Callithrix jacchus: one gene and its partners. The protein of the gene in region 1 interacts with the protein of each later gene in a pairwise test. Links are inferred from orthologs where the notes say so. Each region holds a gene or a part of one and is shown on either strand. Other genes may lie near its edges. The genes, in order: YAE1, CEP126 and LTO1.

The links.
Region 2: the proteins of YAE1 (region 1) and CEP126 interact in a two-hybrid assay, tested with the Homo sapiens proteins (2 studies listed by BioGRID and IntAct). The link is inferred for Callithrix jacchus from reciprocal best matches to the Homo sapiens genes YAE1 and CEP126.
Region 3: the proteins of YAE1 (region 1) and LTO1 interact in binary tests that used the Homo sapiens proteins (3 or more experiments, as listed by UniProt). The link is inferred for Callithrix jacchus from reciprocal best matches to the Homo sapiens genes YAE1 and LTO1.

What each region holds. Positions count from the first base shown.
Region 1 is NC_133512.1:8,032,502-8,036,936, reverse strand, and holds the start of YAE1 (protein YAE1 homolog), read right to left. Parts: upstream 2,852-4,435; 5' UTR 2,837-2,851; coding exon 2,702-2,836; exon of another isoform or gene 1-2,701. UniProt on the Homo sapiens protein: The complex LTO1:YAE1 functions as a target specific adapter that probably recruits apo-ABCE1 to the cytosolic iron-sulfur protein assembly (CIA) complex machinery. May be required for biogenesis of the large ribosomal subunit and initiation of translation.
Region 2 is NC_133511.1:37,717,890-37,721,538, forward strand, and holds part of CEP126 (centrosomal protein of 126 kDa), read right to left. Parts: intron 2,188-3,649; coding exon 1,989-2,187; intron 979-1,988; coding exon 1-978. UniProt on the Homo sapiens protein: Participates in cytokinesis. Necessary for microtubules and mitotic spindle organization. Involved in primary cilium formation.
Region 3 is NC_133511.1:126,594,340-126,598,746, forward strand, and holds the start of LTO1 (protein LTO1 homolog), read right to left. Parts: upstream 2,916-4,407; 5' UTR 2,802-2,915; coding exon 2,600-2,801; intron 1,277-2,599; coding exon 1,171-1,276; intron 1-1,170. UniProt on the Homo sapiens protein: The complex LTO1:YAE1 functions as a target specific adapter that probably recruits apo-ABCE1 to the cytosolic iron-sulfur protein assembly (CIA) complex machinery. May be required for biogenesis of the large ribosomal subunit and initiation of translation.

The DNA of each region.
Region 1 (4,435 bases):
CTCTGGGTTTGTCATTGGCCACAGATAAATCCTAGTTAAATTTTATAGGTATCTTAGTATTATGATTTTGATAAAAACAGAAGATTGGTCATTTCTTTTAGTTTGAAGTGAACTGTGACTTGCTTGTATATTGCAGGGTTCAGTCTAGATTGTCATTAAATCAGAGACTACATTCAGAACATAAAAGCGCTAGTTATATAAGTTTGAAATATGATTTAAGCACTGTTGATGATGGTTTAAATAGTTCTCTAATTTTTGAACTATTGTGCCAAGCAGTAAGATGTATGTATATTTATTTAATAATAACCTGTTTCAAGTCAGATTTGAAAATTTACATTTCCCAAGTATTGCATTATTGGGGTGTTAAAGATTATTTTAGAGAAAAATATTTCTTATTTGATATAATTTTTCTTAGCTTCACTGTGTGAAAAAAGGAAGATATTTCCCATAATGGGAACTCTGATCATTGTCTTAAGAAATATGTATGTCAGTGACAATTCTGTGTTCTTTTCAGAAATATATTCCAAAATTTCCTCGTATTTTTAGGTTGCAACTAATAAAAACTACCTTATATTAATTTATTACAGTTTACGACACATGCTAATACAGGATATGCTAGTGACTTAGGAAGTTTTTAAGTCCATGGTATTGTCTTGATTCCAATAAAGGCTGACTTTCTCTTGTATTTTTTATTTACTATGGGTTACATTTTTTTTATTTTTCAAATTGGATGATAATTTCCTGAATTTTTTTTTAATGTTTTAGTAAACAGCATTTCTTTTTAGATCCATCAATTGAACTTTCTGTTGATAATTTAAAATCTTGGCCATTCATTTAAGATTTTATATCATTCTTGCTGAACTTCTTGCTGTGACTTGCTTGTATATTGCAGGGTTCAGTCTAGATTGTCATTAAATCAGAGTCTACATTCAGAACATAAAAACACCAGGTATATAAGTTTGAAATATAAGTTTGAAATAATTAAAAAAATTTTTCTTTTTGGATGTGAAGGTGAACATTCCTGACTTTTGTCTCATGTGGAAAATCCTTGGTATTTTACATTTTGAAAATTCTCAGAAGCTTAATATAAAACAAAGTTTGCATTCTACTCAGGAAAAAGCATCTTCTTGTATATATTTTAAATATATCTTTGTCCTCATATACAGAAAGTTCTTAATTGATTTTACAGTTTGTAATGCTTGATGTTTTAAAATCATTAACATTTTCATAATTTTTAAGAGACAAACTTCATGTTCTCCTGTTCTTTCCTGACTGCTAATATTGTGTGGTATTTCATAGGTAGAAATCAACAGGAGGGAACACTTAGTGTACTTTTACTCATTAAAAAGCTAGAATACATATAGTTTTGACTTTACAAGAAGGAGAAAAATCATAAATACAATGAATCAACTGACCGTTATGTAGTGGACAATGTCCCCTTCTTTTTAGGCTCTGTTGCTATATGAATCCATTAGACTTACAGTAGTAAAATGTACAAGTTTTCTCTAAAGCCCTCTCCTTTAGAATATAAAATATACCACTGAAGAGTTTGGATGTGTAACTTGTAATGCCTTAGAAAAATATCCTAAGCACAAAATAAACTCTTCTAACGGCTTCAAAAGACTAAAAAAAAAAAAAAAAAAAACCAAAAACTCAGTGTTAGCAATGTCTTCACAAAATGAATATATGGAAAAATACATATCTGGGCTCTTGCCAACTGATTGGAATGGTGTGGGTGGGTGAGGAGACATGGGAAAGCAGAGAGAGAAAATCGTTTAAAAAAAAAGGAAGATAAGTCTGGTTTCAGTAATTTTGCTTAATCCCTAAATTCAACTAACCTGCAAAAGCTCTGTGGGTAGTGATTTCATTCTGCATCCCTTATGGTGGCCACAGCGCTCAGAAGATGCTCAATACTTACTAGGGTAGCCCCAACCTCACATAAAGCATTTTTGTAACTGACCACTTGGTTTTTGAGCTAAGCAAATAATACTTTACTGAAATATTAAACCAGCGCAGATACCCAACTGCAGCGTTAGCGGCAATTTAATGGTTGGCAAATATATTAAGTGGATGTGGACCTCACCATTTGGTCCTCATTCAGAACTCGGTTCTGAAGTCTGCTCACAGAAATTAAGCTTAGTTTCAATGAATAGTGAGACAAACTAGAGATGAAAAAGTTACATCTAACAAATAAAGAAGAAATCAACTTTAATATTCCCTTATCTAGACACCAGTATTCCACATTAGCTTTCCCTTATTGCCCTCTGACAGCACTCTTAAGTTCATCTTTTCAGTATGTCTCGATTAATACCACTCCTTAACTTCAGGCTCCCGATCCATTCAAGCAATTAATATAAACTGCCTACACATCCTTTGACAGCCATAATTAGTAGAGTCAGTGTATGTTTCCCCCCAACTCCTTTCCCTGTGATCCTCAACAAATTGCACTGTTTAAAGTCCAGATACAGTAAAATTTAGTCGGTCCTCAGCTTCTAAGCACCCCGTAGGCGCTCAAAGAACGCGTCCTGTTGTTTCGTACACTTTCAAGTAACCATTGAGAAATCCTAGCAAGACGCGGGTTGGACCGCGTTCCTACGGATAAAGAGCGGAGCGCCGGGCCACGCTGGTGCCCTTCTGGACCCAGCTTCTTGACAACTCCGCGCCTCTTTCCACAACCCAGCACCCCGCGCCGTCCACCCACGTTTACTTTGACTCGTCTCTGCATGTGACTCTGCCATTCCCGCTGCACCAGGAGCGATTCATCTGCTTCCTCGTCAAACACGTCCCCTTCGTCTCCAGGGCCACGGACCGAGGATGCCGCTTGAACCCACGACATCACCGAGGCAATTACGGTGTTACAGGTCACCGGAAGCGCCGACAACTCCTTCCGGTCCGAAGGCGGGGCGAAGACAGCAAATCGGAGCTCGGGAGGGGGCTGCGCGTGCGCGGGGGCGGGCTGTGGCGGGTGGACGCAGCCCCAACCTTCGCTTGCGGTGATTTTGAGCGAAGTCATTGATGTGCACCTGTCGGTTGTGAGCGAGGCGGACTTCCTCGCGTGGCCGGCACGACCTTCACCTTTGCAGAAGGCAGCCAGGACCCTCAGTGAAACACCTTCCATTTCCACCGTAGTCTCTACCATGGTCTGGATTTTACACACGCGCACATTGGTAAATTGTTAAAAGCAGTAAAGTCGATGGGCGGTTATCGCCCAAAGTCGTTATCTCTGTTGGAATCTCCTCTGCATTTAAAGGGTTTGACAAACCGACATTTTTAACTGTTAGGCTTGTGGAGCAAAGGATAATAGAATCGAAAAGTCAGATACTGCAGCCAATTTGAGATCAGTAAGAAAGAGAGAGTACGTTTGTAAAGCCAAGGCGTTTTTTTCACTGATGCACAGTATCCTTCTGCCTCCCATTTCTATTCATACGCCCCAAGGTAGACTGTTGATTTGGTAAGGGTGGGGACTTGTGTCAACACCAGCACGGTTCTGACACATAGTAGATGCTGATCTCGATCTTGGTAAATGAATAAACTCCTGTAGTATTCCTGTTTTGCCCATTGCCTAAGTGAAATGAGTCATGTGATAATGATTTAGTTATCTAACAATTTCTTGAACACCTACCTTGTGTCAAGCACCATTCTAGGCTTTCGGATACATCAGTGAACAGACAGAAGTTCCTAACCATTTTTGACTTTATAGTTATGTAAAATTGACAGGTTAAACAATAAGCAATATGTAAGTAACATAAGGTTTGTTAGATCATAAATAAATGCTATGGCTCAAGCCTGTAACCCCAGCACTTTGGGAGGCCGAGGCGGGTGGATCACGAGGTCAACAGATCGAGACCATCCTGGTCAATATGATGAAACCCCGTCTCTACTAAAAATACAAAAAATTAGCTGGGCATGGTGGCGCGTGCCTGTAATCTCAGCTACTCGGGAGGCTGAGGCAGGAGAATTGCCTGAACCCAGGAGGCGGAGGTTGCGGTGAGCCGAGATAGCGCCATTGCACTCCAGCCTGGGTAACAAGAGCGAAAACTCTGTCTCAAAAAAAAAAAAAAAAAAATAAGTGCTATGAAAAAAATTTAAAAATAAGTAAAGTAAGAACCATGAGTGTATGGGAGTGGGTTTTTGGTTCACGTTACAATATTAAATCTCCAGAGAGAATTTGTCATTCCACAAATAAAAAGGATATAAACTATAAATATGTATATTTTATTAATGTAAATATATTAAGATATGTATATATCTTAATTAGGAACAAAATGGTAGTAAGTAATAAAGATGACAATGAATAAAATAGAAGACCTCAAAACTTACATAAATAAGTCCAATTCTTTTTTGTATTATTTGAAAATACCAATGAGATAGATAATCCTGTCGTGGCCCTGATTTTTAAAGAGAACAACGTTACACGAGAATGAGAAATGAGATA
Region 2 (3,649 bases), on another chromosome or scaffold:
TTTCTTTTGTTGGCCAACTAAGTCATATTTAGAAGTTACATTTGGCAAGGATGATGTTTCAGCTAATTTTTGTTTTTCATCTTTTGAATTGGGATTGTGAGGTATATAGGCATCTTGAAAACTGTCTGAAAATAAAGGCAACTCTCCCTTATGACAATTAAAATATTTTATGTTTTCTTCTTTACCATCTTTCAATTCATCTAACTTATCAGAACACTGCACTGCATCAATTTCTTTTATGTGTATACTGTTCTTTGCTAGAGGTCTAGCTGACTGTGTATTAGATGGCAAAACTAAAGGCATTGCCAGTGATACACACGAAGTAGGAATTGAAGTAGTTCCATTTTCTTGATTTAATTCAGAATATTTTTCTTGATCTGGAAATGTAGTCACTTCCTGGGTTAGAGAATCCAAAGTGCTCCGGTATTTGCTAAATTTAAAGGTTGGGCTCTCAGTAACTAATGGCCTCTCTCTTTTGAATGCTCCAGACGTGGTGTCAGTTGTCCTTATAGTGCTAGTTTCAGAGGCCTTTTCACTTTTTTTATCTAGTACAAATATGGGTGGGGTAGATACAAAGCCTACTGAATTATTAGCAGTATTTGTGGCTTTTTCCACTGTTGCAGTCAAAGGAGATGGATTTTTTTCTTTACTATTAAAACATTCCCATGAAGGCAGAACATTAGATTTACTTAAATTATCTGAGAAAGGTGTGACATTCTGAGTATTTGAAGCATCTAAATTTGTAAGCCAATTATTTATATGTTGAGCTTTAGAGAATGCCAGTTTATCTTCATCAAAGCAGCTTAGATTAGTTGATTGAGGATCTGCTGATTTGAGGGAAATGATATTCCGCTGGATGGATGTGGAATGTTCCTTATTAAGTGTTAAATATATTTCTTCATGTTCTGTAGCCTCAAGACTGTCTATACTTGAGAGGGTTTCAGAATTGGTTATCTGATTAACTTCATCACAAAATTTCTGAAAAAACAACAACATTGTTTTATAGTTTATAAACTTTCAAATGCCAATATCAATGATTCAACATACCATTGTTACTGAGCCCAATTCTCCTTGCATATAGAGTAATATGACTATAAACATTGTAGGTATATAAGTAATTCTTATCCCTGCATCAATCCTCAAGGTAAAAAACAGGGCGGTAACAAAGACTTATAGTAAAGTATGCTTGCTTTGACTTCAACTCCTAAAGTAATACCCACTTATTCTAGCCACAGTTATAACTTATAAAATAATTTTGTTATTGCCATTCCATTTAGAGTATGAAGTTTCTTGAAAGCTTAGTAATAGCAAGTGAAATTCTGAAAAAAATTAATTATAAATTGTATTTTTTCCTGAAACATTCACAGAGCCTAAAAGCTCTGTGATCCTAAAGTGAGCTTCCTGTTAGTAGAAGTTACATCTTTTTATAAAACTTAATTTCGTGAACTGTAGTAAGGTTTTTAACTCTGGCTACATGTTGAAATTACATAAAGAACTATGTAAAATATCTATACCTGGGTCATGCCGATTTAATACTTGGATGGGGTCCATATATTGTTATTATTTAAATTCCCCAGGTAATAAAGTTCATGGATGGACATGTAGGAATATCAGTTGAAATCTATATTCATTTGTGGAAAAAACTGTTAACAAAGTATATGCCCTACTAGAGACAGACTACAAGTATCATTTCTAGTGAATTCTGCCATATTTCCATTAAGAAACTAATATCTACATGTATTATAATTTTCTGGTTGCTTTTTATAATACAGCCTCTAACAATAATACATTACATTGTATTTTCAAAGGTAAGGAAAAAACTAAAAAATTATTTCTATAGTTTCTATGATGAATTTGTGCTGATACATCCACACTCTCTTTCATGGCCTATTCTCAGTAACATATTTCTTTAGTGGAGAACACTACAAAAGTGGAGCAGAATTAGTACTAGGAATTAAAATATTAATAAGGTCTTTATAGTTTCATACTTGCAAACTGCTTAGATGCTGATCTTCTAGGAGTTTCTGAGTTTCCTCCAGTTTAAGCTGGAACACATTTTTGTTAGTAGCCAAAGTTGCCTTCATGTTTTCATTCATTTGTTTATCACAATTGGTTTTTGATAGGAGTTGTTTCTGATGCTTGTGATCATTTTCTGATAATGATGAAGGCAAGGCAGAATCTATCGCTCTGTCAAACAGACATAAAAAGTGCTTAGTACATTTAAATAAAGTTAACTTCTTTTTATATGTATATACATGACACATTTGTGTAATATGTGTGTTTGTCCAGATAATCACATATAAGGATATTGGAGAAATAAAGACAAGTTAGAATGAGAATTTAAGGCAATCAATAGTAGAATAAAAATAGTTGTGAGACTAAAGTGCCAATAAAGAACACCTTCATATAGAAATGCCTAGTAATTCATGGTTTTGATTATTATAACCTATCCCTCTCTCATCTGGGATAAGAGTAGAAGTAATTTCTGCATAGAGTTAGTCCTCAGTTCTTTAAGAGCATTCCTATATGGATAATAATACGCTGCATTACCATTCTTTCTGAGATGATGTGATGGATGGTAAGTTAGGAAAAAATCTATAACCCTAATAATGTTGGCTGAAGATTCAAGCAGATAGAAAATATAAAAACTGCCTATCAGGGTCCACAGGAATTTTCACCCTATTTATCTAGCTTTGGGAACCTGGATCTTCCTCAATGGAGGCCATGTACTCACTTATTTTAAGTTGTTTCAGGATGGTTTTTATGCCATAGAAGTGTACCTTTCATATAGAGTCTACCTTTACTGTGCTAAAGGGCCACCTAAATATTTTCAGTGCATGACCTCATCTTCCATTAGAATTTTGTATCTTCTGCAAACCTATAGCATGTTACACTTCAGTATATATACAAAGTGAAAGCAAAGAACTAAAGAAAATTTTTGGGGGAGAATAGGATGGGGATGAGACTATTATATAGCTGAATGCTGATGCACTGGGTCTGGCAGTGTGAATCCCAAGAGCATTTATTCCTAATTCAATTAAATTATTCCCACTTCAATGAGGATAAAAATGTTTTGGAAGTTGACAATGGCCACATGTGACATATACCTATTAACTATCTCCAATATCCATATATATCTTTATTTGGACAGACTGGAGTAGTCAAGCTCAATGATTACTAGATTCTTAACTATCTCGATGTGATCACACATTAATGAGGGAGAGCAAGAAGGTATGTGATACAAGTTCCTGAACATTGAGGATATGTTTCTGTCTCTTCCTTTTATACTTTTCTACTCTTACATAATCCTTCCCCCTCAGTCACCCTTCCCAAACAAAATATTGCTATATCTACAAAATATCTAGTAAACTCAAATTATTTACCTTTAAAGTTGTTGTCTCTCAACTTTTTCTTCTCTATTCCTTTCTTCTCTACTCCACTTTCTTCTCTTCTCTTCTCTACTTTCTTCCCCCAGTGAGGAGGATTGAAGGGGTGGATAGGAATAAAAGGAGATGGGGAGGTAGAAACAGAGGGAGAATGAAGAATAGGGGGAAAGGAAGAGGAAATCATAAAGGAAGAAGTAGCAGGAGAAACTGGAGAGGGAAAAGCTAAATAAGTTGGAGGCAAACATGGGGAGGAAGATGAATGC
Region 3 (4,407 bases), on another chromosome or scaffold:
CATGATGGGTCTGGAAGTACCTGTTGAGCACTGGGCAATGGAAATTAGGACACGAGGTCATCAGTGGGGCAGCCGGCCTCCCGGATGCCTGAGTCCAGGGATAAAAGCCAATGTTACCTGCCTCACCAGCTCTCTCTTCTCTCGAACATCACGAAGACACACAAGCATCCCTATGGAGACGTCTGTGCCCACAGTCAGGTGACAGCACTACCTTGGAGGCAGATTCTCCAACCCAAGTCCAGCCTTCAGGTGATGTGGCTCTGGCTGACACCCTGAGACAGCACCACCCAGCAAAGCTGCTCCTGAGTTCCCAGCCCTCAGAAACAATGTGAGGTAATCAATATTTGCTGTGTTAAGCCCACATATTTTGTGGTGATCTGTTTCGAAGCATCAAACATCCAATATACTCATAACTGCCTCAACTCAGACTTTGCCACTAAGGACCACTTATCTGTAAATAAGGTCCAATCTAGGACAAAGACAAGAAAAGAAAAAAATATCATGAAGTCAATGAAATTTCAAAGCAAACATATATGGAAGATTTTCACATGACAGAGGGCACCCATTCTTTGGACAGTGATTCAGCTGGCTGAGTGTATGAGCCAGCACCATGACACTCCCAAGTAAACTAAGGAGACCAGGGATTTGCTTTCTCTTAACCAGCCTGCATAATATAATTAAGTCTACACAGCAAAATGCATTCTTGGTTCTGTACTAAGAATACTACCCCAACAGAACATGTAGTCAATTACCTTCCACACAAATGCACTGGGATTTTTTTTTTTTTGAGATGGAGTTTCACTCTTGTCGCCCAGGCTGCAGTGCAATGGTACAATCTCCGCTCACTGCAACCTCCATCTCCGAGGTTCAAGCAATTATCATACTTCAGCCTCCCAAGTAACTGGGATTACAGGCATGAGCCACCACACCCAGCTAATTTTGTATTTTTAGTAGAGACGGAGTTTCACCATGTTGGCCAGGCTGGTCTCGAACTCCTGACCTCAAGGTGATCCACCCACCTCAGCCTCCCAAAGTGCCGAGATTACAGGCATGAGTCAGGTACTGTGATTTTAAAAGGCCCGACATTCTTACTCCATCACACTGAATATTGAAATAAATTATAAACTGTAAATGAAGAGGCTTCATCTCCAAAAGGGGGTTCCCACTTACCTCAGACCCGATTTTGGCTCCATGCAGCGTGCCATGCTGCCTTCCCTCCACCACACCCAAACTACTGCCTTCTTCATAGCCTTCCCGATACCCTTCCCCGTGAAACCTGTGAAGGAGAAGCATGCTTCATCAAATCAACAGGAGAAAGAATACTTATTCCAGACAAACTGTTTTTCTATATATTACCCAGACCCAGTAAGACAAAGTCAGAGTAAAATAGGAAAAGCATAAAATTCAAGTCAGAAGACACATATTCCAGTGCCAGCTCTACCCCTTCCTGAGTCTCCTCTCACAAGTCACTGTACCTCCTGTAGCTGTTTCTTCATCTACAACAAAGGGCTTAATTAGTGAATCCCAAACCTGATAGAATACTAGAAACACACAAGGAAAATTCAAATTAACTCGAAAGCCTCACCCCCAGAGATTCAGTAAGGCTGGAGACAGGGTCTCTGCTGCCCTGCCAGGAGTGCAGGGGTACGATCACAGCTCACTATAGCCTCAAACTCCTGGGCTCAAGCAATCCTCCAGCTCTGGCGTCTCAAAAGTCTTGGGATTACAGGTGTGAGCCACCGCACCTGGCCACGAATCTACTTTTCAGTCTCCTGAGTCTGATTTGCAGCCAGAGTGAGGTAGCCAACGTTTTGTGAGTGGACAAGTATCACGAGCCCAGGCCAACCACTTCCAAAACCCTGCAACATTCACAGGGTTTTACAACACATCACTGGACAACAGCGAGACATGCCATCCAGTCACCACAAATGTACTACGTCCGACCCTGAGGACCAACAGTGGGACTAACGCTATCTTAACCTGCAGTCACCAAAGATGCAAGGAGTGGGCTGCAGCACCCCATGAAGCAGAGTGCACAGCTCCCCACTTATTAGAAAGCGACGGTGCCTCCTCCTCTGTAAATTCTGACGAATAATAGGATCCATTTACCGAGTAGGGCTGAAACGGATAAGCAGGGTGGAACGTTTAGCTGTGTCTGACCCACAGCGCGAGCTAAATAAACGTCAGCGACTGACTGCTAAACGTTCCGTGGCTTTCTGAACTAACATTTATGGGCGTGTTCTGTGGGCCGGGCACTGGAAGTCAGCCAGGAGGCACCTCACAGCTCCCCCACTGTCGCAGCACGAGGGGCTCCCCAAGGGCTCTGGAGGGAAAGGGGTGGGGTCGGGCACATCTATCAGCACATCCATGAATACTGCCGTATGTCCTAAGACCGAGGAACAAGAAAAAGAGGCAGTTCCCAGATGGCAAAGGTCTGTCCTTCCAGAGGACGGGGCGGCCCCGGAGGAGGGTAACCACAGACCGAGCAGATGCTCAGGGAAGCCCGGACAGGGGAGGCGGGTCTGGAAGAGCAGCTGGGCACGTGTCCCGCCGGAGCTGGCGAGGAGAGGAGGAGGAGGACCAGAGCATCTCGACCCACACTTGTCCCAGCGTCCACGGCCACCAGACGCTCCCCCAATGCGCACGCCCGCGGGACGCCAGGCTCCAGCAGCCGCCCTGGACCACAGCCGGCGGCGAATCCACTGGGGGAGACCAGAAAGAGCGGAGTGTGGGCCCGAACTCGCCACCCACCTCTCATCCGCCATCACGATGGCGTCGAATATGTCCTGACTCCCAGCCATTGCGGCAACCAGCCCGCCCCTGACCGCCGGGCTTCTGCAGCCCTTCGGTGCCTTAGCAAACCCGCCAAGTTCAGGCACAAACGCTCTACTTGGGAGGAGACGACGTCCACTTCCGGAAGCAGCGGCGCGGGGCACGCCGGGTAAGAACGGCACGCGGGAGGGTCCAGAAGCAGCCGGCTCGGGGCACACAAGCGGCTGCGGAGGTGGGAGGAGCCGGGCTCGGGCGAAGCCCCGCCCTGGGGCCCCTTCGCCCCGCCCCGCTCCCGCCAAGGGCCTGTCTGTCCGCACTGGGAGCGTCCATTGGCCGCGCGCGGGGGGAACCGACCTGTATTTTACCACCACAGATGGAACCGAATTTCTCAAAGTGGCTCCGAAAAAAAACCAAGAAAGAAATGAGAAGTCATCACCTGGGTGGCTCACTTCTCTAATCCCAGCACTTTGGGAGGCCGAGGAGGGCGGATCACAAGTACAGGAGTTCGAGGCCAGCCTGTCCAACATGGTGAACCCCGCCCCCCCCCCCCCCCCCGTCTCTATTAAAAATACAAAAATTAGCTGGGCGTGGTGGAGGGCGCCTGTAATCCCAGCTACAACGGAGGCTGGGGCAGGAGAGTTGCTTCAACCCGGGAAGCCGAGGTTGCAGTGAGTTGAAACCACACCACTGCATTCCAGCCTGGGTGACAGAGCGAGATTCCATCTCAAAAAAAAAAAAAAAAAAAATCTAGGTGGAACATTCAGATGAGTATGAAGATGCTCTTTTAACACGTACAAGCCATGAAGGAATTCTCCATCAGCAAAACCAACGTTTTGCCATGTGAAAATGCAAACTTGCGTGTACCAACAGTGATAATAAGCAAAATTTAAAGTTAAACAATATGGGGAAATCTTTGTCATAAACATTGTAACTAAAGGAATAATATTTCTGGTAAAGGTTTATTTAAATGGATAAGAAATAAATGCATCATAAAGGGGGCAAAAACAGACTTGAAACGTTATTCACAGAGAACATCATCTGGCCAGGAGGGAAAAGCAGACACAGCCTTCCTAGTAACCAAAGCAATGCTAAGAAAGAACAATGAGATGCATTGTTTCCCTTTTAAAATAGTTTAAGTTCTTTTTCTCCTTTTTCAGAATTAAAAGATTTATTGCGCAGAGGTGCATAAATTTAAGGTACCTCTTGGCCAGGCAGTTCAAAAACATAGGAAGGGCATTTTAGATGTTTTTTTTTGCTGGCTGGGTATGGTGGCGGCTCATGCCCAGCACTGTGGGAGGCCGAGGTGGGCAGATCACCTGAGGTCAGGAGTTCCAGATCAGCCTGGCCAATACAGTGAAACTTTGTCTCTACTAAACACAAAAATTAGCCAGGTGTGGTGGCATGCACCTATAGTCCCAGCTATTCTGGAGGCTGAGGCAACAGAATCGCTTGCACCCGGGAGATGGAGGTTGCAGTGAGCTGAGATCATGGCACTGTACTCCAGCCTGGGTGACAGAACATGACTCTGCCTCAAAGAATAAAATAAAATAAAATAAAACAAAACAAAATAAAATAAAATAAATCTTCTTTTATCTCTTGACCTAGTCATTTCACTTCTAAGACTTCATCTCTAGG